7 linked regions of the Kluyveromyces lactis genome follow. The protein of the gene in region 1 purifies or fractionates together with the protein of each later gene. This does not show direct contact. Links are inferred from orthologs where the notes say so. Each region holds a gene or a part of one and is shown in the gene's direction. Other genes may lie near its edges.

Evidence for each region.
Region 2: the proteins of GLC7 (region 1) and CFT1 purify together in Saccharomyces cerevisiae (affinity purification with mass spectrometry; 6 studies listed by BioGRID, with this or other methods). This does not show direct contact. The link is inferred for Kluyveromyces lactis from reciprocal best matches to the Saccharomyces cerevisiae genes GLC7 and CFT1.
Region 3: the proteins of GLC7 (region 1) and FIP1 purify together in Saccharomyces cerevisiae (affinity purification with mass spectrometry; 4 studies listed by BioGRID). This does not show direct contact. The link is inferred for Kluyveromyces lactis from reciprocal best matches to the Saccharomyces cerevisiae genes GLC7 and FIP1.
Region 4: the proteins of GLC7 (region 1) and PTA1 purify together in Saccharomyces cerevisiae (affinity purification with mass spectrometry; 11 studies listed by BioGRID, with this or other methods). This does not show direct contact. The link is inferred for Kluyveromyces lactis from reciprocal best matches to the Saccharomyces cerevisiae genes GLC7 and PTA1.
Region 5: the proteins of GLC7 (region 1) and JIP4 purify together in Saccharomyces cerevisiae (affinity purification with mass spectrometry, with the first as the bait; 4 studies listed by BioGRID). This does not show direct contact. The link is inferred for Kluyveromyces lactis from reciprocal best matches to the Saccharomyces cerevisiae genes GLC7 and JIP4.
Region 6: the proteins of GLC7 (region 1) and IMP21 purify together in Saccharomyces cerevisiae (affinity purification with mass spectrometry; 3 studies listed by BioGRID). This does not show direct contact. The link is inferred for Kluyveromyces lactis from reciprocal best matches to the Saccharomyces cerevisiae genes GLC7 and IMP21.
Region 7: the proteins of GLC7 (region 1) and PTI1 purify together in Saccharomyces cerevisiae (affinity purification with mass spectrometry; 5 studies listed by BioGRID). This does not show direct contact. The link is inferred for Kluyveromyces lactis from reciprocal best matches to the Saccharomyces cerevisiae genes GLC7 and PTI1.

The regions. Positions count from the first base shown.
Region 1 is NC_006042.1:1,158,250-1,161,899, forward strand, and holds GLC7 (type 1 serine/threonine-protein phosphatase catalytic subunit GLC7), read left to right. Parts: upstream 1-1,296; coding exon 1,297-2,232; downstream 2,233-3,650. Other genes in the region: EMP24 (Emp24p), read left to right, coding at 2,958-3,557.
Region 2 is NC_006039.1:879,861-884,802, reverse strand, and holds the start of CFT1 (cleavage/polyadenylation factor CFT1), read left to right. Parts: upstream 1-1,497; coding exon 1,498-4,942. Other genes in the region: PRO1 (glutamate 5-kinase), read right to left, coding at 1-1,159. UniProt on the Saccharomyces cerevisiae protein: RNA-binding component of the cleavage and polyadenylation factor (CPF) complex, which plays a key role in polyadenylation-dependent pre-mRNA 3'-end formation and cooperates with cleavage factors including the CFIA complex and NAB4/CFIB.
Region 3 is NC_006041.1:534,147-537,732, forward strand, and holds FIP1 (cleavage polyadenylation factor subunit FIP1), read left to right. Parts: upstream 1-1,608; coding exon 1,609-2,496; downstream 2,497-3,586. Other genes in the region: transcription factor IME1, read left to right, coding at 76-711; BUD4 (Bud4p), read right to left, coding at 2,710-3,586. UniProt on the Saccharomyces cerevisiae protein: Polymerase-regulating component of the cleavage and polyadenylation factor (CPF) complex, which plays a key role in polyadenylation-dependent pre-mRNA 3'-end formation and cooperates with cleavage factors including the CFIA complex and NAB4/CFIB.
Region 4 is NC_006037.1:330,515-335,523, reverse strand, and holds PTA1 (RNA-processing protein PTA1), read left to right. Parts: upstream 1-2,010; coding exon 2,011-4,485; downstream 4,486-5,009. Other genes in the region: SNX3 (Snx3p), read right to left, coding at 202-696; HAP5 (Hap5p), read left to right, coding at 989-1,459. UniProt on the Saccharomyces cerevisiae protein: Essential in pre-tRNA processing. Component of the cleavage and polyadenylation factor (CPF) complex, which plays a key role in polyadenylation-dependent pre-mRNA 3'-end formation and cooperates with cleavage factors including the CFIA complex and NAB4/CFIB.
Region 5 is NC_006042.1:240,838-245,761, forward strand, and holds JIP4 (Jip4p), read left to right. Parts: upstream 1-2,124; coding exon 2,125-4,464; downstream 4,465-4,924. Other genes in the region: KLLA0_F02640g (uncharacterized protein), read left to right, coding at 34-687; KLLA0_F02662g (ADP-ribosylation factor-like protein), read left to right, coding at 967-1,728.
Region 6 is NC_006037.1:36,193-39,887, reverse strand, and holds IMP21 (Imp21p), read left to right. Parts: upstream 1-1,686; coding exon 1,687-2,754; downstream 2,755-3,695. Other genes in the region: peptidylprolyl isomerase RRD1, read right to left, coding at 61-1,122. UniProt on the Saccharomyces cerevisiae protein: Controls the nucleo-mitochondrial dependence of galactose, maltose and raffinose utilization. Becomes essential in the absence of functioning mitochondria.
Region 7 is NC_006042.1:1,903,859-1,907,693, forward strand, and holds PTI1 (cleavage polyadenylation factor subunit PTI1), read left to right. Parts: upstream 1-1,618; coding exon 1,619-2,863; downstream 2,864-3,835. Other genes in the region: KLLA0_F20504g (sphinganine kinase LCB4), read right to left, coding at 1-571; UGA1 (4-aminobutyrate transaminase), read left to right, coding at 3,779-3,835. UniProt on the Saccharomyces cerevisiae protein: Component of the cleavage and polyadenylation factor (CPF) complex, which plays a key role in polyadenylation-dependent pre-mRNA 3'-end formation and cooperates with cleavage factors including the CFIA complex and NAB4/CFIB.

The DNA.
Region 1 (3,650 bases):
TCTCTAACTTATCGGGTAGGGCAGAACCAACGAAGTGAGAACACATCCAAACCAACGGATTCTATGCCTTGGTGTTGCCCGAAATAGCAAGGTGCGGTAGCTTATTGTACGCCCTTGTTTTATTTACTATATGTATTTTTTCATGTATCCCTAATGGAGAATGTAACGAACTGCAGCCTGCCAGCTCTTTACATCTTGATTCTAATAATAAATATGGTAAACGAGTGGAAAGAGAAGAAGAGAAGAGAAGAGAAGAGAAGAAGAGAAGTAGGCAAAGAAGGCAAGGGACGTAAATGTCAGAGGCTGCGTGCGCGAGCTGCGGTGCGAAATGCTAGGCAGAATATAGACACTGCTACTGCTGCTGCGCAGCAGCAGTAGCAGTAGTAGTAGCATCTTTGCCATCGAAACCCGACATCTCTGAAATACCTAGCACCCTCCCGCTCACAAACAAAAACAGAACACAACCCATTCCATAACTAAATAGTACATATACGACACTTGGCAAGGCAACACTGGGCACTAGCCCCATCCCTAGCCCCAGTTGGTTTTCCAGTCCAATGCGAAGCGATACCAAGCTGACACTGCGACTTCTTTTCTTTTTTTCCCATATGAAGGAGAACAAAAGTGAAAATTGAGAATTGAAAACTTTCGGTAACGCTTTTTGGCATTACTTACAACTTGTGTTTTATTCATTGGGAAAACACGGTATTTTCAGTGTTTTCCTTCCCATTTGTTTCCGGGAAGATCATCAGTATTGGCGCCAGCTCGAGTCAGGTCAGTGTGTGGTTATTGGCGACAGGTTTGAACACAATACGAAACGGTGTAGATCTCGTTTTTCGGGTTATTTTCTAATTCTATTTTTTTTCCTTTAAAACTCTGTGTGTGTTTTTCTATTATTTTTTCTTTCAATCAATTGATTAAAAAAAAAAATTAATATTATTAAAGAAAGATAATTATAAAACATAAGAGATTGAGAGACTTACGTTCATACGAAGGTTAGAAAGAATACAGCAGGGTCTGTTTGTTTGTAGAAATTGGAAGTGAGACAATATTGCATCTTCAAACCAGGGTAATTTCTACTAGTACCTTTTTTTATCTTTTAAAGTTGCGGGCTATATTCTATAATCTGTTTGCTTCGTTAGGAAAAAAAAATAAGGATTAATAAGAACCAATACTTTTGGATAATCCAAGACACGGAAGCATCACAGTTGCCATCGGTTACTTCAATTATTAAGAACGTTTGATATAGTACCGCGATAATTATAAAACAAAGGAACAAGGAATAAAATAAGAAAAATGGATCAACAATCAGTAGACGTTGACGATATCATTGATAGATTGTTGGAAGTGAGAGGGTTGAAACCTGGCCATCAGGTTGACTTGGAAGAACACGAGATTAGGTATTTATGTTCCAAGGCCAGATCTATTTTCATCAAGCAGCCAATCCTATTGGAATTGGAGGCACCAATTAAGATTTGTGGTGATATCCACGGTCAATATTATGATTTGTTACGTCTTTTCGAATACGGTGGGTTCCCACCAGAATCCAACTATCTGTTTTTAGGTGATTATGTGGATCGTGGTAAACAATCGCTAGAAACCATTTGTTTACTGTTGGCTTACAAGATCAAGTATCCGGAGAATTTCTTTATCTTGCGTGGTAATCACGAATGTGCATCGATCAATAGAATTTACGGGTTTTACGACGAATGTAAGAGACGTTATAACATTAAGCTTTGGAAAACTTTTACGGATTGTTTCAACTGTTTGCCTATCGCTGCGATTGTCGATGAAAAAATCTTTTGTATGCATGGTGGATTATCCCCAGATTTAAATACCATGGAACAAATCAGACGTGTGATGAGACCCACCGATATCCCAGACGTGGGGTTATTATGCGATTTGTTATGGTCCGATCCGGATAAAGATATCGTTGGATGGTCAGAAAACGATAGAGGTGTCTCGTTCACTTTTGGTCCTGACGTAGTGAGTAGGTTTTTACAAAAACAAGATATGGAATTGATCTGTAGAGCACATCAAGTCGTCGAAGACGGATACGAGTTTTTCAGTAAAAGACAATTGGTAACATTGTTCAGTGCTCCAAACTACTGTGGTGAGTTCGATAACGCTGGTGCTATGATGTCTGTTGATGAAAGTTTATTATGTTCGTTCCAAATCTTGAAACCAGCTTCTAAGTTATTGGAACGAAACGTAGTGAGAAGAAAGAAATGATGAATTTAAATTTAAACCTTCTTAATCATCATCATCATCATCATCATCATCATCATCCTCATCTCTCCCCCCCCTTTAAACAACGAATCCCATCTCAAAGAAAATCCCCAATGAAAAAACCAGAAAAAAATAAACTATTAAATTCAAACATAAAGTATAAGATATATTACTGGAAAAACTTGCTGAGCTAGAACGTTTTCCTTTATACCTTTCTAATATATTGTAACATAATTTCTTTGTCGAATGTCAAGCGGGCTGCTACAATTTCAATTTCAAACCTTTATCTCCACTTTACTCTCTTATCACCCTTTTACACATATCCCATCATTCATGTTATTAGTATATATATACGCAGTGATATATACATATATATATATATTCTACATATTGCAAAGGAAAATTCTGTAGATTAGCCGTTGAGCCTTTTTCCATACATCAATCGACTAAACCAATAACACGTACGTTAACATAGTGCTGTAGACACATCGTGTTTTTTAGCATAGACTGAAAATTTTGGAAAACCCTCTTTTTTCGATCTTTCTATGTGTTATTTTTTTTTTTTTTTGGCAAAAAGTTGAAGTCGTGTTTTATTTGACGATCTGTTACTTACATGACATTTGTATTCACACACTTCATCGAGTTGAGTCCCTTCATCTTTGTTATTGCACTACCCTCAACCGTCTAGTGAAAAACAACTAGTAGCCAGAGAGTCCTTACATATAAGAATGCTATTACAATTTTTGGTGTTACTATTTGCTGGTTTGTGTAACGCACACACGGTACATCTACCAGCGTACGGTCGTCGTTGTTTCTTTGAAAACTTGAACAAAGGTGACGAGCTATCTGTATCTTTCCAATTCGGTGATAGAAACCCTCATGGTACTGAACAATTGACTGGTGATTTCGTTCTATATGGGTCTCAAAGAAGCGAGGTCTTGAAAACTTTGAGAGACGTGTCACATGGTGACGTGTTTGTGAACGCTCCATACACCGGCAAGTTCCAATACTGCTTTTTGAATGAAAACTCGAACATTGACACTAAGGACGTGACTTTCAATGTTTTCGGTGTTATTTATGTCGATTTAGATGATCCAAACACCAGATCTTTGGACGGCTCAGTGAGACAATTGTCCAAACTGGTCAAAGAAGTGAAGAACGAACAAAGTTACATTATTATCAGAGAAAGAACTCACAGAAACACAGCAGAATCCACTAATGACCGTGTCAAATGGTGGTCTGTGTTCCAATTGCTCGTCGTTGTAGTGAATTCGTTGTTCCAGATCTATTACTTGAAGAGATTTTTCGAAGTCACTTCGTATGTGTAAGTAAAACGAAAGGCATGGCTGCATGAAGTATATCAGATATAGTCGTCGTGTATATTCAAAGTAAAAATATGTGTATATGTATATCCAGGTTTT
Region 2 (4,942 bases), on another chromosome or scaffold:
TTTTTGATAACTCTGTGCTTGTATAGTTGCAACGAGCCCTACCTACTGTTTTCAGTGCAACGGATTTATCCAAATTTCCATCTGAATCCCTGACTCCCAATTTTATATCTATACATTCATGTTCATGGAAGCTCCCTTGGACTTCAATAACGCCTGCAGGTAACAAACCAGCTTTGTTTTTCCTCGTTAACGCTTCGTATGCACCAATGTCTATAATTACAGCGCCTTGACTGACGAGTCCATGAAGCATCCAGAATTGTCTGTTCTTCAAGTGATGATGATTACTATTGGCAATAAACCTAGTATGAAGAGGAACATGATTATTAACTAAACTTTGCATCTCAGTGAGTTGTAGGTCAGCCAAATCTTGTGTAAGTTCATTCACGCCATCGTCCCTTTCCTGCATGTAGAGAACAATTTTGGAAATGTTTTCTGGAGTGTCGCTCTTCATAATGATGGTATGGACACCAGCATTGGTTGCTAATTCTGCCGCAATAAGCTTAGTCTTCATACCACCAGTTCCAACATCTGATCCAGATCCACCGTCTGTGTTCACACCTGGCAATCCTTGTGATATATCTGGAACAACCAAGATAGGTTTTGCATCGGGATTTGCTCTTGGATTATCAGTGTATAAACAGTCAACATCTGTCAATAAAAATAGATAATCAGCACCAGTCAACGCTGCTGTGATAGCTGATAATGTATCATTATCACCAAATTTGATTTCGCTCACAGATAAAGTGTCATTCTCATTAACGATTGGCACTACTCCCATGGAAAGTAATTCACTAATAGTATTCTGTGCATTCTTATACTGAGTCCAATCAACAATGTCATTTCGAGTAATTAGGATTTGAGCAATTCTCTGATCAAATTCAGAGAACAAGGAATCCCACCTCCCAATTAATCTGCCTTGGCCCACAGCTGCGATTGCTTGCACCTTGGATAGTTTCTTTGGCCTTCCCTTCATATTCATCGTTTTCAATCCGACGGCGATACCTCCACTAGATACAATGATAACTTTGTGTCCTCTTCTGCGTAACTTTACCACAGTCTCCACAATCAATGACATGATAGAAAGTTTTGGTTCTTTGGTCTCTTCATCAACTAGTGATGAAGATCCCAATTTTATGACTATGACGAACTGCTTTACCATCTGAACTTGTTGGAAAACGTTCTTCTTCTCGCGGTCCGTAGAAACCTTTGGTTACAGAAATTTCAGGCCAGATTGACTAATAGCTGCTGCTCACAGACAGTACACTATGTTTATATCTGTTTTGCAGATGCAGTTATTCATCTTTTCAAATGGTCTGCAGATGTCATCGAAACATTTACTTTCAGTTTCTGTGAATTTTTAAATATTCACCGGTTCTTCAAAATATAGGTAACTATCATTACTAAGAACACTGGAAACAGACGAGCGTAGGTGGGCATACTAGCACTCTTCAGTCACACCTGAATCTGAAACGTTTAAATATCGGGGATAGATAATAAATGAACGTTTTTGACGAGATATTGCAACCCACTGTGGTTAATAAATGCTTACATGGGAATTTTACGTCAGCGGAAAGGGAAGAATACGTTGTTGCAAGAACCAATGTTCTCTCTGTATTCAGGGTCTCGCGAGCACAAAAGCTTGTACTTGCATATGAATGGAAACTAGCAGGTAAAATCATAGATATGCAATTACTGCCCCAAATTGGATCGCCTCTTAAGATGCTTGCAATACTTTCGTCGAAATCCAAAGTATCGTTGGTAAGGTTTGACCCAGTGGCAGAGAGTCTTGAAACACTAAGTCTGCATTATTATCACGACAAATTTGTCAATTTAAGCACTTCTTCTTTGAAGACGGAGTCCATTATGGCAGTGGATCCATTGTTTAGATGTCTTCTGGTTTTTAATGAAGATGTTTTAGCTATATTGCCATTGAAACTGAACACAGAAGATATGGAAATTGATGAGGATGAGAACGGAATAAAAGAGCCAATGGCTAAACGCTTAAAAAGGAACCAAGGAATCACATCCGATAGTATAATAATGCCAATTTCTAGCCTTCACAAGAGTCTCAAGCATGTCTATGATATAAAATGGTTAAATAATTTCAGCAAGCCAACTGTGGGAATATTATATCAACCGGTACTTGCGTGGTGTGGAAATGAAAAAGTACTTGGAAATACTATGAGGTACATGGTTTTGAGTTTAGATGTCGAAGATGAAAAAACCACCGTGATTGCTGAGCTTGCAGATCTTCCGAACGACCTGCACACCTTGGTTCCACTGAAGAGGGGATATGTGTTGATTGGTGTCAATGAATTATTATATATCAGTGCATCTGGTGCACTACAATCGTGCATACGATTGAACACATTTGCAACGTCTTCAATCAATACAAGGATAACTGATAATTCTGACATGAATATCTTTCTATCAAAGAGTTCAATATATTTCTATAAAGCTTTGAAAAGACATGATTTGCTTATTTTGATAGATGAAAACTGCAGGATGTACAACATTATTACAGAATCAGAGGGTAATCTACTTACCAAATTTGACTGTGTACAAGTACCGATTGTTAACGAGATCTTCAAAAATTCAAGATTGCCGTTGTCGGTATGTGGTGATCTCAACTTAGAAACTGGCAGAGTTCTTATAGGTTTTCTCTCAGGTGATGCAATGTTTCTGCAACTTAAAAACTTGAAAGTGGCATTTGCAGCAAAACGACAACTTGTTGAAACTGTTGATGACGATGACGATGAATACAGTGCACTTTATGGAGAGTCTCAAAATAATACTCACACCAGAATCGTCGAAACACAAGAGCCTTTCGATATATCATTGTTGGACTCCATTTTCAATATCGGTCCTCTAACATCTCTTACTATTGGTAAGGTCGCATCTGTTGAACCAACTATTCAGAGACTTCCCAATCCTAACAAAGATGAATTCTCAATTGTAGCTACATCTGGAGTTGGGAGGGGATCTCACCTCACTGCATTGCATTCCACTGTCCAGCCCCACATAGAACAAGCCTTAAAATTCACAAGTGCGACCCGTATCTGGAATTTGAAAATAAAGGGAAAAGACAAGTATCTTGTGACTACAGACGCTGATAAAGAGAAAAGTGATGTATATCAGATTGATAGAAATTTTGAACCTTTTAGGGCGCAAGATTTTAGAAAAGACAGCAGAACCATCGGCATGGAAACTATGGACGACGATAAACGTATTTTACAGGTAACTTCAGGAGGATTATATCTATTTGATGTTGACTTTAAGAGGTTAGCAAGATTAACTATTGATATCGAAATTGTTCATGCGTGTATTATTGATCCATATATTCTATTCACGGATGCTAGAGGTAACATCAAAATTTATCAACTAGACTCTAAAAATAAAAAAAAATTCATCAAATTTAAGCTTCCAGAGGCTCTCAATGAAATTATCATCACATCTGGTTCCATTTTCAAGAGTAACATTTGCAACAAATTCCTACATGGATTGGAAAACTCTTCACAAGAACAGCTTCTCTTCACATTTGTAACGGGCGACAATCAGGTTATTTTCTTTACCGAAAAGCACAATGACAGGATATTTCAGTTAAATGGTGTCGATCAGCTAGAAGACATGCTTTTTATAAGTACGTATCAGATTCCTGAAGAAATGAACCCGGACCCATCAATAAAGCAAATCATGTTAAACAGATTGGGCCATCATAAGAAAGAAGAATTTCTAACTATTCTTACGTTTGGTGGGGAGATCTATCAGTACAAGAAGTCGACAAAGCACAGCGGTAAACTCTTAAAATGTAAATCCCATCCTCTAATTACCGGTGCTCCTAACAATGCATACCCTCAAGGAGTTAATAAAATAGAAAGGGTTGCTCATTACTTCCCTAACTACAATGGATATTCAGTAGTATTTATTACTGGTCAAGTACCATATATCATAATCAAAGAAGATAATTCGGTATGTCGGATATTCCGGATGACTAATATACCTATTGTCACAATGGCTAGGTGGGGTAAAAACTCTGTGATGTGCGTAGATAATATTAAAAATGCAAGAGTAATGAAATTAGATCCTGAATGTTATTATGGGAATACTCAGATTCTTAGAAAAATCATTATTGAAGATGTTGTTGAGGAATTTGAAACTTTAGGAAATATTGCGTACCATGAACGGACCGGAATGTATATCATCTCCTATACCAAATTCATCGAATATCAAGCTCTAAGTGAAGATGGTGAGCCCCTTGTAGGTTACGATCCAAGCAAACCAAATAGTACTGGGTATAAATCTGGACTTCTTTTGATCAATCCACTCACGTGGAATATCATTGATCGGCTTGACTTGTCTGAGAATTCCATGGTAAACGACATTAAAACCATGCTCATTCAGTTGAACTCAAAGACTAGAAGAAAGCGGGAGCTGGTCATTATCGGAAGTTCTTTTGTAAAAGAAGAAGATCAGCCTAGCACTGGCTGTTTACTGGTTCTGGATATAACAGAAGTGGTGGCCGAACCAGGCAAACCAGATAGTAATTTCAAGTTTAAACAGCTCTTTGAAGAAGAAATTCGCGGATCTGTGAATGCTGTATGTGAAATAAGTGGGAGATTTATGATCGGCCAGAGCTCAAAAGCGCTTGTTCGTGATATGCAAGAAGATAATTCTGCTGTTCCCGTAGCGTTTTTGGATATGCCTGTGTTTATTACCGATGCAAAGAGTTTTTCTAACTTGATGATAATAGGAGATTCAATGCAGGGATTCACTTTTGTAGGTTTTGATGCAGAGCCATATCGAATGATTGTATTGGGTAAAAGTACCTCCAAATTTCAAGTCATGAACCTTGAGTTTTTGGTGAACAACGGGAATATCAATTTTATAGTCACTGATCGACAAAACCACCTTCATGTTCTAAGATATGCTCCAGATGAAGCCA
Region 3 (3,586 bases), on another chromosome or scaffold:
ACCGTGCATAAAAAAAAACTGATAGTGAAATACTAACTGGTTACCATAGAAGCTTAATATACTTTACCCAATACAATGCACTGCGAGCTGGATATTTCTAGCTATTTGAAACTGGACGACCTGCAAGAATGTGGAGTTAACATGGAATGGCATGGTGAATTGGCACTTTCTGATCTCGAAGATGATGTAAGCCTTGATTTTCATGAGAAGCATGTTATCAGTCGACACGATTTACAGCCAAGGTCCATCCATATGCCGTCGATGATCCATACTCAGCCTGTCCATTTGATTCACGTTCACAATTTGAAATTTTTACAGACGAGTTTTGAAGAAGAAGATGAACAGAGAATTATTTGTTCTTCTTCTACACCACCTTCACTGGCTGACACAAGACACAGTTCTGTTTTCTCTTCTACAAGAAGTATCAACGTGTTACTGGAAGAAGACGAGCAAGATTTGGACAATGACTTGCAGTGCATGGCTCCAGTGAAGAAAAAACAGCAACGTGCATTGGTGGCACCCATCATGTTCTCCTCTTCATCTTCAAAGAAAGATTCGGTCGTTTCGGAAAAGGATCAGTTTGTTTACACGCTAACTAACAAGTTACTACCTTATTTTGGGTATTTCTTGGCTGATTCTAACGATTTGGATTATTTCGATAAGATTAGATTCCAAGAAATTGATTACAAGTTCTCCAAGACGTATTTTTGATGGAACAATCCTCATCCTTTTATCCAGATATTATTTTTCCCCCTTTGCTATAGACTGCCTGTATGATACACCTGCATATTTTTTTCCTTCTTCATCATATTTCTTACATTCATTCCTTTCTAATTCTCTACTTCATTTCAAATTACCTTCCATTTTTTTTTTTACTTTGTTTCTGTGGGTGCGGACACAAGGTGACCATGTTTAGTCAACCTTACAGGTCCCATAAACACTTCAAAAAAGAACATTCACTTCTCAATTGCAGTTTACAATCGACTTTTTTGAACATTCATTCTCAACAATGTCTGACTCTTTTCAACACATTAAAGACACTCACTCGCCTGTAATGTTTGTTTCCTCTGTTGTTTTCTGTCAATTTTTTTAATTAATTCACACTTTTACTCTGAAAAAACAGGACAAAGTATTATGCTTCGTCAATAAGATGCACTTTTTTCTTTGGTTTCCCTTGTTACTTTTCCATATCTTTAATTCTTACCATCGCATATTCTTTCAAGTTCGTTAACATCGGAAATCGATACTGTCCGCAACATGCACATCTAATTCTTCTGTAAATCATGTATTCTCATTAGCTACACATTTAACCCATATTATACATTCCGTCCAAACAAGCTGAGTCGCTGTCCGCTGTCCGGTGACAGATATTCATTAGAAATGTTTGTCATTGAATACGACAATAATTTACCCGGATATGCGTCGATTTAACAGCATCATTTTGGTAAATCTTAGCATTGAGAGTTAACTATTAGTTGATTTCTATATGAGAAGAAGAACTATCTTCCTGTTAAGATACCTTTTGGGTTGCGCAGCCTTCCAAACTTTCCAAGCATTTATTGATAAATCTTCTACCAGTCCACGAACGACATATAGAAACGAATCGTTATGAGCAGTGAGGATGAAGACGATAAGTTTCTATACAGCGATGAGGAGGATTCTAACGTAGTCGCAAAGCAAGAGGGTCCTGCATTGAAAAGACAAAAGGTCGAAGAAACACCCAAGATACTAGCTCATGATGTACCGGAAGGTAATACGAATGAGGTAGAGAGTGAGGCCTCCAATCAGGATAGTTCATCAGATGAGGATGACAGCAGTGACTCAGATTCAGATGTTGAGATTATCATCGGAACTGGTAACGATACCTCTAAGATAGATTCTGGTAAGTCCCAGATATCTGCTATAACAGACACAACGCCTCTTGGTACAGCGGATCATGCTATTGCAGCAGTGGCTGGTATATCGGACGTGGTTCCTGTACAGGAGGGTTCAATACCACCTGAACAGCAGCAGCAGCAACAACAAACTATTGATTTGAACCCGGATGCACAATTCGATGGGAAACCTATAGTACAGATCGATCCAGAAATTCTAAAGGAGAAGCCCTGGAGACAACCAGGAGCGAATATTTCAGATTATTTCAATTATGGATTTAATGAACAGACTTGGATGGAATATTTACATAGACAAGAACATTTGACGAAAGAATACAACCCACAAAAGATTTTGATGAACCTCCTAGCTTTACAGCAGCAAGGAAAGTTAAATGATCCAGGTTCAGGACAACCTGTACAGAATACAATCCAACCTCCTCCTCCGCCTATGGGACTTCCCCCCATGTTTGGTGGTTTCCCAGGATTTCCATTTCCGGGTATGATGAATAACATGCAAAATCAAAATGTATCAAGCATGAACAACATGAACAACATGAACAACATGAACAACATGAACAACATTAACAACAACAACAATAATAATCTCAACGACAAGAAATGAAATTTAGTGCTTGAGGCTCGTATTGATTGCAAGCAACATTAATGATATATAGCGGACATGTACATGTATTTTCGATTCCTTGATGGAATTGTAACACAGCTTAGTTTTAAAGACCTCATGTTGACATTTGTTATAATTAGAGAAATGACATTAATATACTATACTTCAAAAAAAATGGCAAAGACAAACTATATATCTGAATACTATAACAGTTTAAAAAGTAATGTTGTATTGTTCGTTTTCAAAAACTCTTTTGATCCATGGTTGATGGAATTTATTCAGTTCAACAACGCTGGTCAAAATTTCAACCCATTGTTGTTTTAAAAGATTAGAATCAGCGTTAAAATTTATAACTTCATCATTTGCAAAAAGGAGTTTGAAGCAATCGCTGAAAAGTACCATATCAGTAAAGTTTCTCATTTGTTTTCCAGTTGCCGTTTTACCATCAGAGTATATATCTACTACGTTTAGAAGATTCAACAAAGTTTGTGGTTTTCTGGTAACTTCGTCATGAGCTATAAGTTCAGTGCCTTTCAAAATCATATATCTTCTTTTCAACATTCCCTCTACATCACCGCCTTCTTGCCACAGGAATCCTTCATTATTGACCCTTTGCTGTTCAAGATACTTCTCGCAACACTTCTGAACTGCCTTCAGATTCTTTGGGAATCTTTCCATGGACGAAGTTCTTGGAAGATACATCACATCAACTGTAAGAGAGCAAACCTTAGATGGATTTTTCCGAGGAAGTTTCCATAATTCGTCTTCTTTATATGTTTGTGCGATTTTCTCATCAAATTCGCGCTCCCATTCATTGAGGAATTCAAAGTGTAGCTCATTTGTTTTGTATTTGATTTGTTTCAGCATATTTTTATTGACATTTACCTGGCAGCGTGCAAATGAACCATCCTTTGCGAATTTGAAGTCCCAATCGTCATATTTCAATTTCTTAGTAACAAACCTTTTCTCAAGCCTATACTTTGTTTTGCCGAACGCAAATCGTTTCTTGATAGGAATCTTCTCTACAACCTCAGTTAGTTGATTTTGAGGGCTTGTGTATCGAATTTTCATAGTCATGAATAAAGTGACG
Region 4 (5,009 bases), on another chromosome or scaffold:
CTCATACTGTACTTTGAACATATTTGCATGATAGAACCGTCTCCGTTAAAGGTAACATGAAATATTATATACTTTTTTGGATATACTGTAAACTACATTCTACGTAATTTGCTCCATAAACAGAGTACATCAAGACTTTCCGACTCATGTCAACTGCCACTAGCGAAAGTTATATTAGGATGGCAAATCTGCTTAATATTACTACCCCTGGAAGGTAGGATCCTGAATGAAACGGACGAGGACTTTTGATCCAGTTTGTAATAGAGGGTGCCCAGCGACAGATGCCAGCCATTTGTTCAAGCCTTGGCGTCTTTCCTCTATAACTGCATCACTGAACCTGTTTGAAAGGAGAATCTTTCCTGGCAAATGTTGTACTGAGACTTTCGGATGGTTGCTCAGTTGTAATTCTTTGATCAGCAACTTTCTGAATAGTTCAAAATCACTGTACCGCCTTCGAACGGAACTCGATCTTTTAGAAAAGCCAGGAAGATTCGTCCTGCATATAATTTCATAATCTGTATACATTCCCTTAGCATCGCCACTAGGGAAATGAGTCTTTGGGTTGCAAACCTCTATCTCTAGAAAGTTTTCTGGCTCATCATAAATTGTTGCACCGGATAATTGCTTGTGAGTTGTATGTGAAAGTGTAGACTCTGCAGTTGTAGTAAATGATTGGAACTGTCTTTGGGGGCACATATTACCGAATCCATATAATCGTGGACCTTGCCCGATTAGGTTTTTCAAGGTATTATTCACTCTTTACCCACCTTCGTTACTTTGCAGGAATTGGTTGAGGTACCCTTCATAAATGGTCTTTTTTATAATGAAAAGCCATAGATATTATTTTCACAATCATATCCTTAAAACGATTTCAGGAAACCGCATAATATGCTAAGAGTGGATCTGTATTGAAATCGTACCCTGTTCTTAGCAGCACAGATCCACATGAAATCTAACTGATATTGTCGATGACACTTACCTCGAAACCATGGATCAACCGGCAGCTAATAATCAAGAGAACGTAACAAACGAACAAGGACCTCTCATGGATCTCGAAGAAGATGAAGAGATCGACGTATTCCATAATGTCGGCCAGGGACTTGCTGGCAGATACAGAGAAATTATGATACAGTATTGGCAGGAACTTATTAATGAGATAGAATCCACGAATGAGCCAGGTTCACAATTCCAAGACGACTTCAAATCGCATTCGTTACCACTAGCAAGGATTAAGAAAGTGATGAAAACTGACGAAGAAGTTAGAATGATTAGTGGAGAGGCTCCAATTCTATTTGCAAAAGCCTGCGAAATCTTCATCACAGAACTCACAATGAGAGCATGGTGTGTTGCAGAGGAAAATAAGCGACGTACGTTGCAGAAGCAAGACATTGCGGATGCATTACAAAAGTCCGATATGTTCGATTTCCTGATTGACATAGTACCCAGAAACGTTCAATGATCAAACCGCCAAATCATTAGCGTATAAAGTGAAATGAGAGAAATCAACACAATGCCCCACTTACATATTTCAACCGATTAGGCAGTTGACCTCTGAAAAATGCGACATCGGTGAGCTATGACATTATTTAGTTGTTTCTAGCAATATAGCATTATTAACTCACAAATTGTGAATTTCATGATCAGTAATATACAGTTCAATCGAAGTAAATGTTACAAATGTCATGTCAATTACTGTCTGAAATCCATAAATATTCTCGGGCAGGTTTGTACCATCTGTAGCTTTTTCTCTTTCACAGTCTCTCTTCTCTATAAGCACGAACATGAAATTGAAAAAAAAATTAAACACTAAGTTCAGATTTCGTTTTGACTATAAGAAACCACAAGTGACTGAAGAGCGCAGAAACAGCAAGAGCAAGTCAGACATAGCATCAAGCGTGGTTGATACTATAAACCGTGTGTTAAACTTTAAACAAAGCACCTCAACAGTCAGTACTTTTTTGTTTTGTTCCAGTGAGTTTTCAATCATCTGTTTGCTGAGTATAGAAAACTATGTCAACTTCTGTAGACCCTTTAGTCCAGTTGCAACAGGCAGCTGCGATGGCAATGCAGCATATGCCGGAACAAATGCTTCCTAAGGTTTTGGAGACCGGTATCACATTGTTTTTAAATGATAAGCGGAATTTAGGGTTCTCGAGATTTTCTACCCAGTTATTATTGGATATATTGGTTCATGATAAGATTCCATCAAGTGAAAAACCATTCATTGTATGTCAAAACATCACTGCGCTTTGGGAAATGGCTGAAACAAGAGATTATGTCACTTACAAAAACTGTATACTATGTCTTGGTAATATTTATGACCGATTATTTGATTTAGTAGCAAAGACTTCTGATGATAAACTTTGGTCGGTAATGTTAAAGTTTAAAGAACTTATCATTGCCAACTGGAAGACCTGCTATCCTTTGGATTTGTCTGACAATGATCTAAATAACCATTCAAGAGGAACGGGGGTAAAATTAGCAAGTGTGAAGCTCATTTCGAAAATCATTATTGTGCACACCTCAGGACCCGGAATTAGCGTGGGAAGTATACCAGAAAATCATCCTGTGATATCTAATAAGCAAGCGTTGGAGGCTGAAGCCAAATATTTGTTAGATAAATTGTTAACTTTTTTAATTGAGGAACCAATGATGTGTGCACCATGGTTCACAGGTGCTCTTCATAGTCTTTCTTTTATTATGAAGCAGAGACCATTGGCCACAATTCGAATCGCATCCGCTTTACTGAAATTCAACATTGACATGAAATTCCAAAGAGATGATGAACCCACTTTACAATACAGACTTGCAAAGCGATTTGTGGAACGTTGTTACAGAAATTTAGTTCAGTTCGGAATTAAAAGTCAACTACTCAAAAACAGTGGATCCATGACACAGTATAGAAACAAACTAGCTAAAATTTCACAGACTCTATTCGTTATTGGCGAAGAGACCAAAGCTAAAGGTATTCTAAATTATGATCCGGCTGCGATTGAACATAAAATGACTCCAGCTGATAAAAAAAAATACACTAGAGTGAAGGAAGTTAACGACTCTTCTTCAGATTCTTCATCAGGAACATTTTCAGCGACAACGAAATCTCCGTCTCCTATTCAAATGCCACCGATTGTTTCGCCAATGATAGGAAATACAATGATGAATACGGCATCTACTCCACCGTTACTGAATAATTTTCAACCTCAGATACATGCCCCCGTAAAGAACATACCTGCTCCTCCACCCCCACCGCCTGATCTTTCTGTATTGCAATCCCTTCAGAGTTATGCTTTCACTAAATCCACGACAAAGCATCCACATTTTTTGAATCCTGCTCATACCTCTGTCGATAACTCATATTCTGCCGTTTTTGCCTTAATGAACCCCGTCACCTCCGGATTCGATGTCTCGAAGTTGTCTCAAGATACCATGGTTAAAATATGTACTGAGGCTTTAAGTAACACAAACACAGGTACTGCCATTAATGGACTATCCATAGTTGCGTCCAGGTACACCGATTTGATAAACAAGTGGTTACAAAACAATGCTCAACAACAGAGCGCAACTATCTCCAACGATAGTAGTCCAGTCCCATTCAACAACAGTAGCCAAAGTCAAGCTAGTAAACGTCCCAGAGAAGAGAATTCTGCAGCTTTGCCAATAAAGCAAGAAGTTGCAATGAAAAACGAAGAACCTTTACAGCAGCCTGCGGACGATAGGTACGTAATTGATGATTCAGCTCCTATACAGCCACCAGAAAGCAAAAGGGCAAAGATCGAAAGAGTGGAAGATGCAGAACCATCAAGCAGTCATACAGTATCCTTGGGTGTTCCAACTTTAACTTATGATGAGAAGTTGACTCACTTGCAAAGAATTGTGCAGAATATATTACTGATACCAACTAAAACTGATGTGAGCACTCCAATGACACAATTACAAAGTACAAATCCATTGGACAAAGTTCTACTAATGAATTGGGACAATAAGACCTCCTGGGTATTCTTATTATCTAGACTCTGCTCTAGAGGAGTGTCATCGAATCAAGATGTGAGAGATATTGTCACCAACGCAATTTTTGACTACTTCTGTGAGGATTTCCAGAACAGAATCACGCTTGTACTTGAATGGCTAAGTGAAGAGTGGTACCATGAGGAATTGATTTCCGATGGTAAAGATCATACCATATATAATGAATGGTCAGTAAAGGTGCTAGATTTCATGATCCCCAAACTTGATGACTCCCACAGAAGATTGTTTATTCGAATGGTCAGTGAAATGCCGTTACTTACTCAAGAACACATCGAAAAGATGAAATCACTATGTTTAGATCCTACTAGATCGGTATTGGGGTTCCAGTCTTTGAAATTCATGTTGATGTTCAGACCTCCAGTGAAACCGTTCATCAAAGTTGCCCTCGAATCTATGGCTGAAGTAGACGAAAGTATCAAACCACAATGCGATTCACTATTGAACAAGTATTTTTCCTGAGTAAAGCTATTCTGAATCAATGTAAACCCTGATTTCTAAATTTATATATCTATATACTAGCCGTCGAAGATATTGCAATTTGGTTGCGTTCCAAAAGCAATATGTAAGGAGAAACTTACTACTTTCCTATCAAACCGTCAACGAATAAAAGAGAATCATAGCTCGCTAATGCCCAATAGGTTTGGCTGAAATTCCACCATGTATCAGTCACTTAATGAGAAATTTGAAGTTTTCAAAAATATAACCTTTTAGCCACATTATCGTTAAAACATATAGTTAACGCACGCACAGCACGATCTCATCTCGTTCTCGTTTCCCTTCGAAACAAAGGACACACACAGAGCTTCTTTGAGAAAAAGAAATGAACTAATGCCGTCTCGCTGAAATTTGAAAAAAAAAATAATTTCAACATCGCTTCTTCTTGAATATGTTTTCAGGAATCTAACTAAGTCAGAGGAAGTGAAAGTGATAAACAGAACGAACCAAGGCCCGAAAAGAGGTGTGCGTTTATTCATTGTGTTTAA
Region 5 (4,924 bases), about 920 kb from region 1:
CCAATTACCGTTGTCCTGATAAGTTCAATAACAATGTCTGAGAATACGACTTCTGCTAAGGGCACAGCACAGAGCATTATTGCTCATATGAATAAAGATCATAAACTTGCATTAGAGGATTTTCTTTATGTATTTGGTAATGTGCCAATCACAGACCAAATCAGTAGCGTTAGATTGAAAGAATTTGAATTGGACCACATGACCATATTATTCCAACATGCTGCCATTGATTTTGATATTGAGAAGGTGATTCCTTTTGATCCACCTTTAAGCAGTTTCAGAGATTCCAGAGACAGATTGGTGTCGATGGCCAAGGAGGCTGCCGAGAAAAGAGGAGTGTCGCACGTTATGATCAACGAGATGTCGTATCCTCGAGACTTTGTCGAATATTTGATAATAATTCTAGTGTTCCTACCAATAGTTGTTTTTATGAAGAGAAGCCTTCTACAATACTTCCCATTACCGCAGTATATCATCGATTTTATCTCCAAGGACGCCGTCTTGATATCAATCATCATCGGTGAAATTATCTGCCATGCAGCAGAGACCTACTTCTTATTGAGACCGAGACTCAACTACCATCGTGTTCCAACAGATTTCCTTGTGGAGTGGTATTTCTTCGGTATGTTAGAAGGATACCCTATAGTCAAACGATTCGATGATCTTGCATACCAAAGAACACATTAAATTGTAGATAAATCTATATATACAATTATATATACGGCTTTCACTGCAATTTGATAATGTAGATGTAATACCGTACCAGCGTTAATGTAGCACAAGATACAATTCGGCAGCTATTCTCCCTTGTTCTGTTTTTGCCCTTCCAGCCGGTTTTTCTATAGAAGTTTAGGGTCACTATTATTGTTGACATTTAAACAACTGATACATCGCAATGCTACAATTCCAAGAGAAAGTAGAAGGAAAAACAGACCAAACGGTCATAGCTCGAGCTGTTGAGTAGGTATGGATTGCTTCTGGAAATGGTTCAATCAATTTTGGGATTGGCTTTATACTGCGAGCACTCAGAAACAATTGAGCATTGCAGTTGTTGGTTTGCAAAACTCAGGTAAAACGACTTTCACCAATCTGATAGCTGGAGAGGAGTTTGTGGTCGACACGATACCAACTTTAGGAGTAAACATCAAAGATGTAAAGCTGCCGAACCATACCAATCTAAAGGTATACGATTTAGCCGGCCAAACCCGCTTTCAAAAACTCTGGGATCGATGTTTCCAACAAGTCGATCTTTTAGTGTTCATGATTGATTTATCCGATTTAACGAATTGGGAACAGGCAAAGAACAAGCTTCATGATGTGATAATCGCTACAAACCTGGAGCATGTACCTATTCTGATATTAGGTAACAAAGTGGACCTAATCCCGAAGTTTCATAGAGATTTATACGTTGCCAAGTCGGATGTTTCAGATCAACGGAGTTCAGTAGAAAACTCTGCGAGGAAACAGACATGGAATTACGTCTCTCCCTTGTTACACAATTATGAATACGAAGATATACCGAAGTATGATTTAAATCCAGAAAATCAACACGTATTAAGCAAGGTAGAGGTTCTCTCGAAAGAATTGGGCATAGACTTGAAGCACGGATTGCTTCATTTACCACATGACTCGAAAGTCAAATTAAACAGAGACATCGCCCTATTCTCAGTAAGTTGCAAAGACGGAACTTTGATAGACACCGTCATCGATTGGATCCTAGAATTATAGTTGTGCCTTGATATTTAAAAAGAAACCTCGATTCGAATATATAATTAAGTATGAACTGTCACTCAAAGGTATCATATTATCCTGCTTTTTCTATTCTATGTTACTAACTTTCAACTTTGCAGCATTTTCTCCGATCTTGTCATTATGAAATTTAAAGAAAAAGTTGATTATTGAAAGTATTATTATACCAAGACATATTATTCAGAATGCAACTGATAAGGGTTCAAAAGGTGAAGAAACTACTGGGTAACAATTGCGCTTGAACTGCAAAGATACGCTTAATTCAGAAAGTTAAAGTTTTCCCTTCGATAATTTTACGTAACCGGAGAGTTCTGTTAATTGGTTATTCAACGAATTCAAGTATTTTTATTAGGGAAGCAAAAGCCAAGGAGTCCGATGCTGGAGAAAACAGATCCTTTCTATTATAAGAGGGTGAAGTTCTGTCTGTGTGATCACTGTACTGAAGGTTCAGAGGAATTGCAGAGATACAAGAGTAATTATAGCTCTGACAGTCGAAGTTCTGTTGATTCGTTACTGAACGGAGCCGGCGAAAAGTTGGTTCCAACGGTTTCTTGGGACACAGTACCTATCGAGGGTGTATCTAACGAGGAATCAGGGTACGACAGCGATCCTCATAATTTGGATTACGCTCTGGATCGATTTTACGATAGTGATGATTCACATGACGATATACGCCATGGCCGGGGATCATCAAGGACTCACTTGGGAATCACCCCAACCCTTACAGACAGAGTACGTGGATCCTCGCCTATGAGACCGAGGCAAAACAATGATTTCACATTTCAGCTTGATGTTGGAGGCAGTAGCAATAATCCAAAGATTTTCTTTGGCCCTAACGGGGAAATCAGAAGAAGGGACTACCCCAGCAGACCTGTTTTATTTAATAACGCGTTGATCAGGACACAGTACCATAAGGATTGGAAGCATGAGTGGAGACAGCGAGTAGAAAAAATGGAGGAGAGAAAAGAGACCGGCGTCAGTACGTACTTCAAATTTCCTGAGATTCTATTTCCGAAAGTGAAAGTCGATTTAACAGATGCCCCTTTGGTCAACGACAATGGGGAAATGATACAAAAGGAAAGAAGGGCTAGCATCAAAAGACATTTGAAAGTTGTTCGAACCCCTGTTGGATTGGTAAAGACGCCAAGAACTATCCTTGTGCATATAAGTGGTAGAGAACATACATGGGTTGCACTAGATTGGGCTATGGCCGAATTGGCTGAGGACATTGATTATATAGTTATTATTGCAAATATTCCCAGAAGAGATTGGTCGACTAGAAGTGGTTCTTATACGAGATCGAGGTCAGCATCGAGATCTCGCTCTCGTTCTAGATCTAGGATGAGATCTGTCTCTCGGACTCGGGAATTCGGTACCGATGATGATCAACCTGATGCTACTTGGTGTGACGGTTGCACGGTTGGGGAAGTAAATGACTTGCTTCAGCGGCTCATCGAATATTCTACTTTGATCATGGGTGGTAAGAAGCTCAAAATAACAGTTGAAATTGTGATCGGTTCGACTTCGCAAATATTGATTGATTCATTAAATGCGTACGCTCCAGATTTTTTTGTCATCGGCAGTTCTATTGATAAATATGGCTCGGGATCAGTTGTTGTGCATAAGTCAAGACATTTGGCTCCGGTGCTGATGCAGTATTTCCCTATTCCCGTTTTTTTTGTGGCTGCAAGGAGGATGGGATGGTTCGAAAAGAAGTTGCAGCGAGATATTCTATTCAAACAACGAGTCTTACCGTCAGATAAGGACACTGATCTGGATGTCTCATCATTCAGTGTTTCCACAACGGAAACTGATGACACTGAAAACGAAGACACCGATGATGATGATGATGTGGAGACAACATCAAATTTGTCTTTAGGCAACAGAGAAAAAACTGTAAAGCAAATTCAAAAGCTAAGACACAATTACCGTTGTCTTGTTGACAAAAAGCTTAAATTATTGGATGAAGATACGGGACTTCCAACACCTGAACAATATTATGGGAAAATGGATTCTATCATTAATGCTACTTTGAACTTCAACAAAGAGCTCGAAACCTGGGGTGACTCTGCCGATATGGCTGAGATCAAAAGAAGTATAACAGGTGGTGTACGGCCCAGAGTCATGAAGAAGAAATCTATGCTTGATTTCTCGGATCTTCCTCCCAAGAGAAAATCAAAAATTCCAACTGAACATGAGAACTCAAAGGAAACAATGGACTTCAATCAAAATACTTTCAAGAATAAAAAATTACCCAAAGTTGTGTTAAGCTCACCTCCTCCATCCCGACCAGTATCCCCACTCGCTAACAATGGAGAGGGAGGTATCAAGTTTGCTAACTCAGTGAAATCAAAGGATGGAAAGGGAGCTATTCAGCGCATCAAGTCTTATGATCCATATTCGCAGAATTCTGATCCATTTGATAGAGAAGATTCTGCGCTATCATTGAGCGTGGTAAGATCTCATCAACCCAAGTCGGATTCAACTTCGTTGAGGAAAGTATTGAGTACAACTTCTCTAGATAAGAAAGAGTCGAAAAAAGGTAGACTTCTTTCATTTTTATTTGGGGGAGGCTCCAATAACAACATTGGTTCTAATAGCTCAAATTCAAGTCCAGTGGTCAGCGAAAGCAACTCAAGGAGAGGTAGTATTGCCAGTCAATCTTCAAGTGATTCGACTAAAAAAAGGAGAAGCATATTTGGTTTAAAAAAATAGCTCCCAAATTGAATTACTAAAACCCTTTAACAGCTAGACTGTTATTCTAACTCATTCTATTTTTCATTTAGTTCTTAGAGGATAATCATGTATATAAAGTAATCGAAATTGCCCGTTAGGCCTACTATTAACTGCCAGTTACACAATTTAATTTTAATGTCACATTTAAGACTTGAAGTTAGCTTGCAAACGAAAATTATAAGACAGGAACTGCAACTTCGTCAGATTTTGTATCGTTCGAGAGTTCCAGAGCGACAATTTAAAACGATACAGCCTATATTAATCTGATCCTATGCTGATATTTACGTATCCAGCCAAAATTATTTTGGTGACGTTTGAACTGAAGATAGGCCACTGGTGTTTGTCATTTAACATCCCTGTTTTAACGTGTTTTCACATAATATGATTTAAAAGAAAATGAAAACGCGAAACAAGTAGTCGTCATCGGAAGCAATGAGAA
Region 6 (3,695 bases), on another chromosome or scaffold:
CTTAAGCGAAGAATAAAAGCAGGTTAAATAGATCTTTAATCTCATCCCATATATGCTGTGTTAACGTCTGTGTATAAACCTAGATGTGCTTGTACTCAAAGGTGGAGGCATTTTCGTAGTAGCATTGTTTGCAGTCAAAAAATCAGCATCGTCGTTATTTTCTGCAGGCTGATATATTGGCAAAGAGTGATTGTTACCATAACTCGTCCATGGGAAAAATGCGGTTCCGAACCAAAAGTGCTGCACGACTGGAAACTTATTTAAAACTTCTACCTTGTACATTTTAATCAAACCCTGTTGCATCTTGTGCCATGTATGAACACTCCTTGATATGTTGTAGAGTAGAGGAGAATGATTGGAAAATGGGCCCGATTTTACGACATTAATGAATCGTATTGATTTGCAAAATAGATTGCTAGAGCTGTTTTGTTCCATCAATCTAGTATTAGAAATATCCTTTGGTATTAAAGAAGTATTCACATCTAACAATTGAGTGGCTCCTAAAATGTATGAGAAATGAAAATGATCATCTAGCCCCCAAACGCCATGAGACCCAGCAGGTTCCAATTTATAGGTTAAGATTAGTTTCTGAATCACGTCGTAATATGAATTGAAACAATAAAGTAGCGCCGGCCCCTTTATTGTTTCAATTTTTAGCATATCCAAACAAATTATCACAGCTAAAAAGGACAATTCATGACCAGTTCCATAGTCAATTCTTTCCTTCGATCCAAATGCATTAGATATGTAATATGAAAGTTCTATGATGCTGTTGTTGTACTTTTCGGGCAATAACTCATGCAACCAATTCTCCAATTGGTTTTGAAACTTCGTTTGCCAATCTCTGTATGAAAGGTTTCCATATCTACTATGCATTCTCTCAGGAGGTGTCTCGTCTATCAAGGCAGACAGCCTTTTGAGTAGTTCCACTACGATATTAGTGAAAAAACTTTCTTTGATTGTATCTGGTATCTGCTGGCCCTTACAAAGCGTAATATACTTCTGCAAGTGATATTGTATTCTAACCATTGCGACTGAATTCTGGAAGTCAAGGGTACCCTGACTATCGAATATTCTTTTCTCTGGCATTGAGAACTTGGCGTTCTCATAATCAAAGTCCATCTCTTAGTTTCTTATCCCTTATTTATCACCGTTATATCATAACAACTCTCGATTTAATATTTGCAGCTTGAAATATGTGCGGGAGAATAATTAGAATGCAATATTTGATACGTCCTACAAGGAAGGTATTAGTTTTCAAGATCGCCTCCCCAAAAGTTACAAGAGAAACTGCTATTTCATATCCTTTCTTAGCATTTCAGTCTGTAGAATTCTAACTTTTTTTAAGCGTTCGCAGTACAGGCACTGAAATTGTGAAGTGATATGAAAACATATGATAAAAATAAAAAGCCAAAATAACCTTGAAAAACGATTATACTGCTATGTTTTCACACCAGAGAAAAGATTCCTAATACAAGTCACCAGTCACACATTTACTTTCTTTATCCGCGACACTAGCTTGTACCTGTGAAATAATTTTAACTTTTTGTATCACAGCTAATACTATTCTACTGAATTCACAGGACGAATATTTAATCCAACATCATTGAAATAACTATCAACTTAGCTTCAATCTCCGGTCGCAGACAAAGTATACTACAAGTGAGCCATTGAACATATTTAGACATGGAAGAACCTGGAAGAGGTATTTTGAATAAGAAACTAACTGATGATAAGCATCTGGCTGCGCCTCCAGCGTTTCCAACTATAAAGATAGAGGAACCAGAGCAAAGAGGTAGGTCCCGGAGTAAGACAAGAGATACCGGCATATCATCAAGCAGATCGATATCAAGGTCTGCGAGTCGAGTAAGTATAAAGGACCAAGCCTACCTGAAGTGGACAATATTGAATAAGGACCCTTCAGAAAGGTTACATTTGAAGGCCAAAAAAGGAAACACTAGAGATAGCGTATCTCCAGGACAAGAAAATGGTGGTGACGAGGATGAAGATGAAGATGAAGAGGAATTCATAGAAGATAGAGAAGACGATGGTGAGGTCAGTGAGGAGGAACAAGTGAGTGATGTAGAGAATGAAATAGAAATTGATGAACACATTGATTATGATTTAGGTTGTAAAGTTTTACCGAACTTTGTTACACCAATTACCCAAGTACTCGACTCTATGAAGCCATGGCTAGCGAAGAATGCTGAGATTAAAACAGAAGCAGACAAAAGAGATATCAAATTGGAAGAAATTCAACACGGAATACATAGAGCTGTCTATCATATGAGCAAAGGAGACAATATTACCGCCGCAACGAGCGAGAAAGGCCACTCGTTCGTTGTTTACTTGGATCAAATGGATGAATCTTTTGCTGAGAAAATATACGCCTTAGTTTACTCTTTCGGTTCTGTTTTCACTAATGGGGACACTTTGTACATCATAAACCAATGTGACGACGATACCAACGATATGCTATTTCAAATGAATCGAATTTGCGATCACATAGATTATTTATTCGAATGCACCAATGGAGTTGGAACCTTGGACAAAATTGACGTCCTAATATGTTCAATGTACCATCCATATCCGAAACAATTACTCACTGAGATGGCACATTCCTTGCAGCCATCGTCGATTATTATTCCGTTGCAAACGGTGTTGGCATCATTACAAAATTTCATAACTTCAGTACCGATGCTTGTGATTCGGAAGAAATTGAAGAGATCAAAGCGTAGAGGGATAGCTGACTGATATGCACTACTTCAACAAGCATATAGCCGTTACTATACACACATATATAAACGTAAACTAAAACTTAATACACGTGATCAGTAAAAACGCCATTGTCAATATGAAACGAAATAACAAATGCTACTGCTGCTGAACGAAAAAATTAAGGCAAACATACAGGGTAATTAGGACGAAATTCGTTCATCTATTGACTGAAGAGAAGGAGCAGCAACATAACCAAAATTTGTGGGGAAAGCCAATAGCAGGATCCGAAGATTGTGAAAACACTAATTTAAAAAAAAAGGCATGGAGATGGAGACGAGACATTTACTTGTCCAATTTTCACCAAGTGTGTATCTCGGGAGATATCGGATGACATGCAGCAAGCTCGGATTAGCGCGCAAGAGTGAGTTATTGGCCGGGTAATGTCATATACCGTAGTCTTTCCTTTCATCAAGAATTTAAAGTTTGGTACCCCTCATTCACTTCAGCGTACTGAGAGATTTTCCTACTGTTTGTTTGCATGGGGTTCAATCGCTAAAAACATTCGATCCACTAAAATTGACGAGCTTGCAATAAATCAAGCTGGCAACTTTCTTTCATGAACACCTGGACGTACACACACATCTCTTCCTATCGTGGCTATTTTTCCTATTTTTGCCTTATACCACAAGGATATAAAAAACCATTATACAGAATCGAAACATTCAAGTATTCCCCTACGACTTGCCTATTACGCGGTACATAGTAAAAATATAGCCTACCAATCGCAAACTATACAACTGTATGCATTGCTTGGTGAAACTTAAACAAACACGCTGAGGTAAATCATTGCACCTTGAATGCATTTTCTTGTCTTTATGCTATAAGCAATAAATGAGAAATGCCCCAGTACCGCCCCTCCGAACTGTCCAAAATTGTTCCAGAGTTGTTCCGATACAGGAATAGCAGCACCGGAGATA
Region 7 (3,835 bases), about 750 kb from region 1:
TACCCTTACCACCGTGTGGGTTGATAATGACTAGAATTGATTTGTTTCTCTTAGTGTTTTTATAACTTCTATTCAAGATCTCTTCTGCCACATCAGTTCCCATATTAGGAAACACTGAAGTATCGACGCTCAATTTTATTGTTTTTGGGACTAAATGGTTCCTCCTTGGCTTTGCAAAAGTGACTTCAATCAATGCAGTATGATCCGGCCATGGGGAACCATCATCTTCTGCTTCCATATTCGTGACATCAAGAATCTTTGCGTAAGGAATAACCGTATTTGAAGGTAGCAGCAGAGCTTCATTCTCATCTTTAGATTCCGTGTCGCTGAGACAAGTAACACAACTGATTAACGAAGCTGTTTCAAAAACACTAGATTGGAAGCTCCCAGAAGCATCGCCGTCTTCGTCATCCTCGTCATCGCCGAAATCACCTCCATTACTTCTGCGTGCCAAAAGCGTCGATGAGCTTGTTGAAGGACCGGACGTAAATTGATCTTTAATCAATAAACCATTTTCGCCAATGATGGCTCTTGTATAGGGCAAATGATACTTCCTGCTCAGCTTACTCATTATTCTTGCAGCCCTCTGTTTCCTTTTTCTCAGATGAAGGGAAATATCTGAATCAGACTCTGATCTCTGTTTGGACCACAACAGTTTTGGCAACTCAACAAGAATAATTAACTACCTCTTTTCCACCTTTACGTGAAAATAACGCAAAACAAAATCAAAAAAAAAGAGACTGATTCAAAATTGAGATACAGTCAAACAAGATCAATGACTATGTCTTCTGTTATTCTCTGATGAATCCTCTTATCAATACCTAGCTAATAAATCACAGGGGGTATGTTTTCGGGATGACGGATATATTACTGTTCCTTTCAGTTCAGTTCGATTTAATTTGATATATCTAACTTGAAAACGGAGAACACCAAATCGTTGTCATAAATATGATAAATGGAAACGTTTCTTGGAAATGATAATAAAGTATAGTACTATCCACCAGTTAAACTAGAATTCTCACAGACAAATTCTCTAAACAAATTTCCTAGGTTCACGATGCTTATATAAGAACCGATGCGCAATGCTTTTTTTATCAGACTGTCTTCTTGTCTAGATAACAAACCACGAGAGTAGATCCTTAGAACAATTTTCTTAAATAGTAGAGGCTTGATTAACAATACTCTGGCTGATATTGGATGTGGACAGAACAGTTTCTTATTCATCAATCATATCTTTACGTTTTAACTTCGAAGGCTTCCTGATTTTCGATTTCATGTAAATCTAAGAAATACAAAACAAAAGAAACATCAGTTGGCACGTGATATATAATCAATTATTACCCGGATATTGTTCTTATATGAATGTTAACTTAAAAAGATTCTAAGCATCGTTAAAGACTAACGGCCATACTAATGAATTAAGAAATCTGCTGTCGACTAGAAAGAATGAATATGTAATTATGTATGTTCGTAACGATTCATTGTGAGGCAAAATAATACTAGTTACTAGACACCAGTCAGATATTTGCGATAACAAGTTTGCAATTTAGAGAATACATATATATATCGAAACGGTGAAATACTCTTAAGTTGGTTTCTAACTAAACACAGTCAAAGTATGCATGACCCACAGAAGGATCCTCGTACTAGGAAAAGCAGGCATGAACTGACCCCGCACAATCTTTCATCTACCATACGTTTTACTGACATACCTGCTCAGTGGAACAAGGATAACTTCACATCTGTGATAACTGGTTCTGGATATATAGTTGACGTTAGAGAGAAATACGTGGATGAGGTCGAAGAAGCAGGAGAACGAGAAGGGGGAAAAGGAACTGGAGCTGGAGCTGGAGCTGGAAGTGAAAGAGGATGTCTTGAATGGGTAGATGTAGATTTCAGGGACTCTTCCTCCGCCAATAGGGCCCAAAATTCAATAAATAAGATAAACCATTTCCCATGTAGGATGTCCATGGTGATTCCCAAAGATTGGAAAGAAAAGTTAGAGAAAATAGACCAACTGAAACCGTTAGAGTTCACAAGAGACAATTTTCCCTGGGATTACAAATTAGAACTACCGTTTGAAATGGTAAGTGAGGTACCTTTACCAAGAAAGCCGTTGCCGGTGGTGCAACCAATAACAAGTGACGCAGGAAGCACACTATCCTCGGAGAATAACACTGCATCTACGAATGCTGCCTCGGATAACCTTGCCTCGAAGGCGAACGAGGCACCGGCACAGCAGATAGAGATCCCAGAGATCTTAGCACGGGCATCAAAGCATCTACCAGCATACCAACCGGGCTCGATGACTGCACCGGATGTGGTATCTCAAAATCTATCGAAGATTCCTACGTTACAAATGATCGAGATTCTATCAAACTTGAAGATCTTAGCCAACCAGCATAACAAGAAGCCACAACTGGAACAATTCTTGAAGACTAACATTGACTTAACGGTAGCTGTCACTCAGGCAATGCTAGAAATGGGGTTGATAAACTATCACGTGATATCAAATGTTCTAGGCCAAATGCAGGGCCAACATTCTGTTGGACCCACGCCTGCCGCAGCCGCGCCTACAGTACCAACTCTGCCGCCAGTTCAACTACCTGAGCCGTCTGTACCCCAGACGGCTCAAGGCATTAACAGCGGTGGTAACGGTACTGGTGGTGATATTACCACCACCGCTACAACCAACGCTGCCAACACCCCACAGCAGTTCAACGAGGCAAAACTTTCGCTACTGCCGCAAGATCAACAGAACATGATCAGAACTGCGCTTTCGATGCCCATAACGAACATAATGGCTCTTCCACCAGGCCAGCAACAACTAATACAGCAACTCAAAAACGACTACCTTCTATAGATAATAATAATAGCAATAACAAGAAAAATACATAGCACAATTCCTATCTCTTAGTCATCCATAATGGCTCGAAGGCTTTCTTTCTATCTATAGTGTATACCACCGTGTTTCCCAACCTAAAAGTTCCGCGCGCAAGTTTTCCTCTTTAACGACTTGGCTCATACAGGAAACTGAAAATGGAAAAAGCTGAAATAACCGACATTTCAAAACAGGAAGATGTCAAATGCATGCGGCGAAATGAAGGGAAACGAACGTCGAGGGAAATGTCTAAGGAAAGCGCAAAGGGAAAGAAATGCCGAAACGATTGGGCTACTATTCGAATGTTTTGGCGGTAGCTGCCGCCCTCCACAGCAACACGGAGCACTTTGTGTCAGGATCCTTTGGAGAGATTAGATAGATATTTGTTTATGTGCGTGTGTAAAAAGAAAAACTTGTCAAGTCCTCTCTTGCAGTAATCCGTTTCTGTTTTCAGTATGTTATATCAGGTATCATCAGTGCCGATCTGAGCTGATAAGGAAGGAAGGAGGAAAGGAGGGAAGGAGGAAGAGAGGGCAGAAGAGGTTTCCGTCGCAGTTTCACCGACCTATTCGTTAAAATACCTATTCGCTGCTCTTAATTTTTTGAATGGCGCGCGGATAATTACTACAGCGTAAAACACTGTGCTTATTGAGCTTAGAGATCAATGAAAAAAAAGTGCTTATGAAATTAAAGCAAGGCGATTCTTAAAGGGAGCGCGGGACTATACAGATGAGGTGCACATGAATCATGGGAAAAAAAATCGTATATAAATCCATGGGTAGATTGTTCTCTCTGAACTAGAGGAACCAGTTTCTATAATTTACATGTTGTTTGTAATTGTGTTTTTAGTTTACACCCAGTCCACAAGCACAGAGTAATCATTTGAATTAGGAAAAGATGTCCGTTGCTGCTAAGTACTACCCAAACGAACCAACTGAACCAAAGGTCGTTACC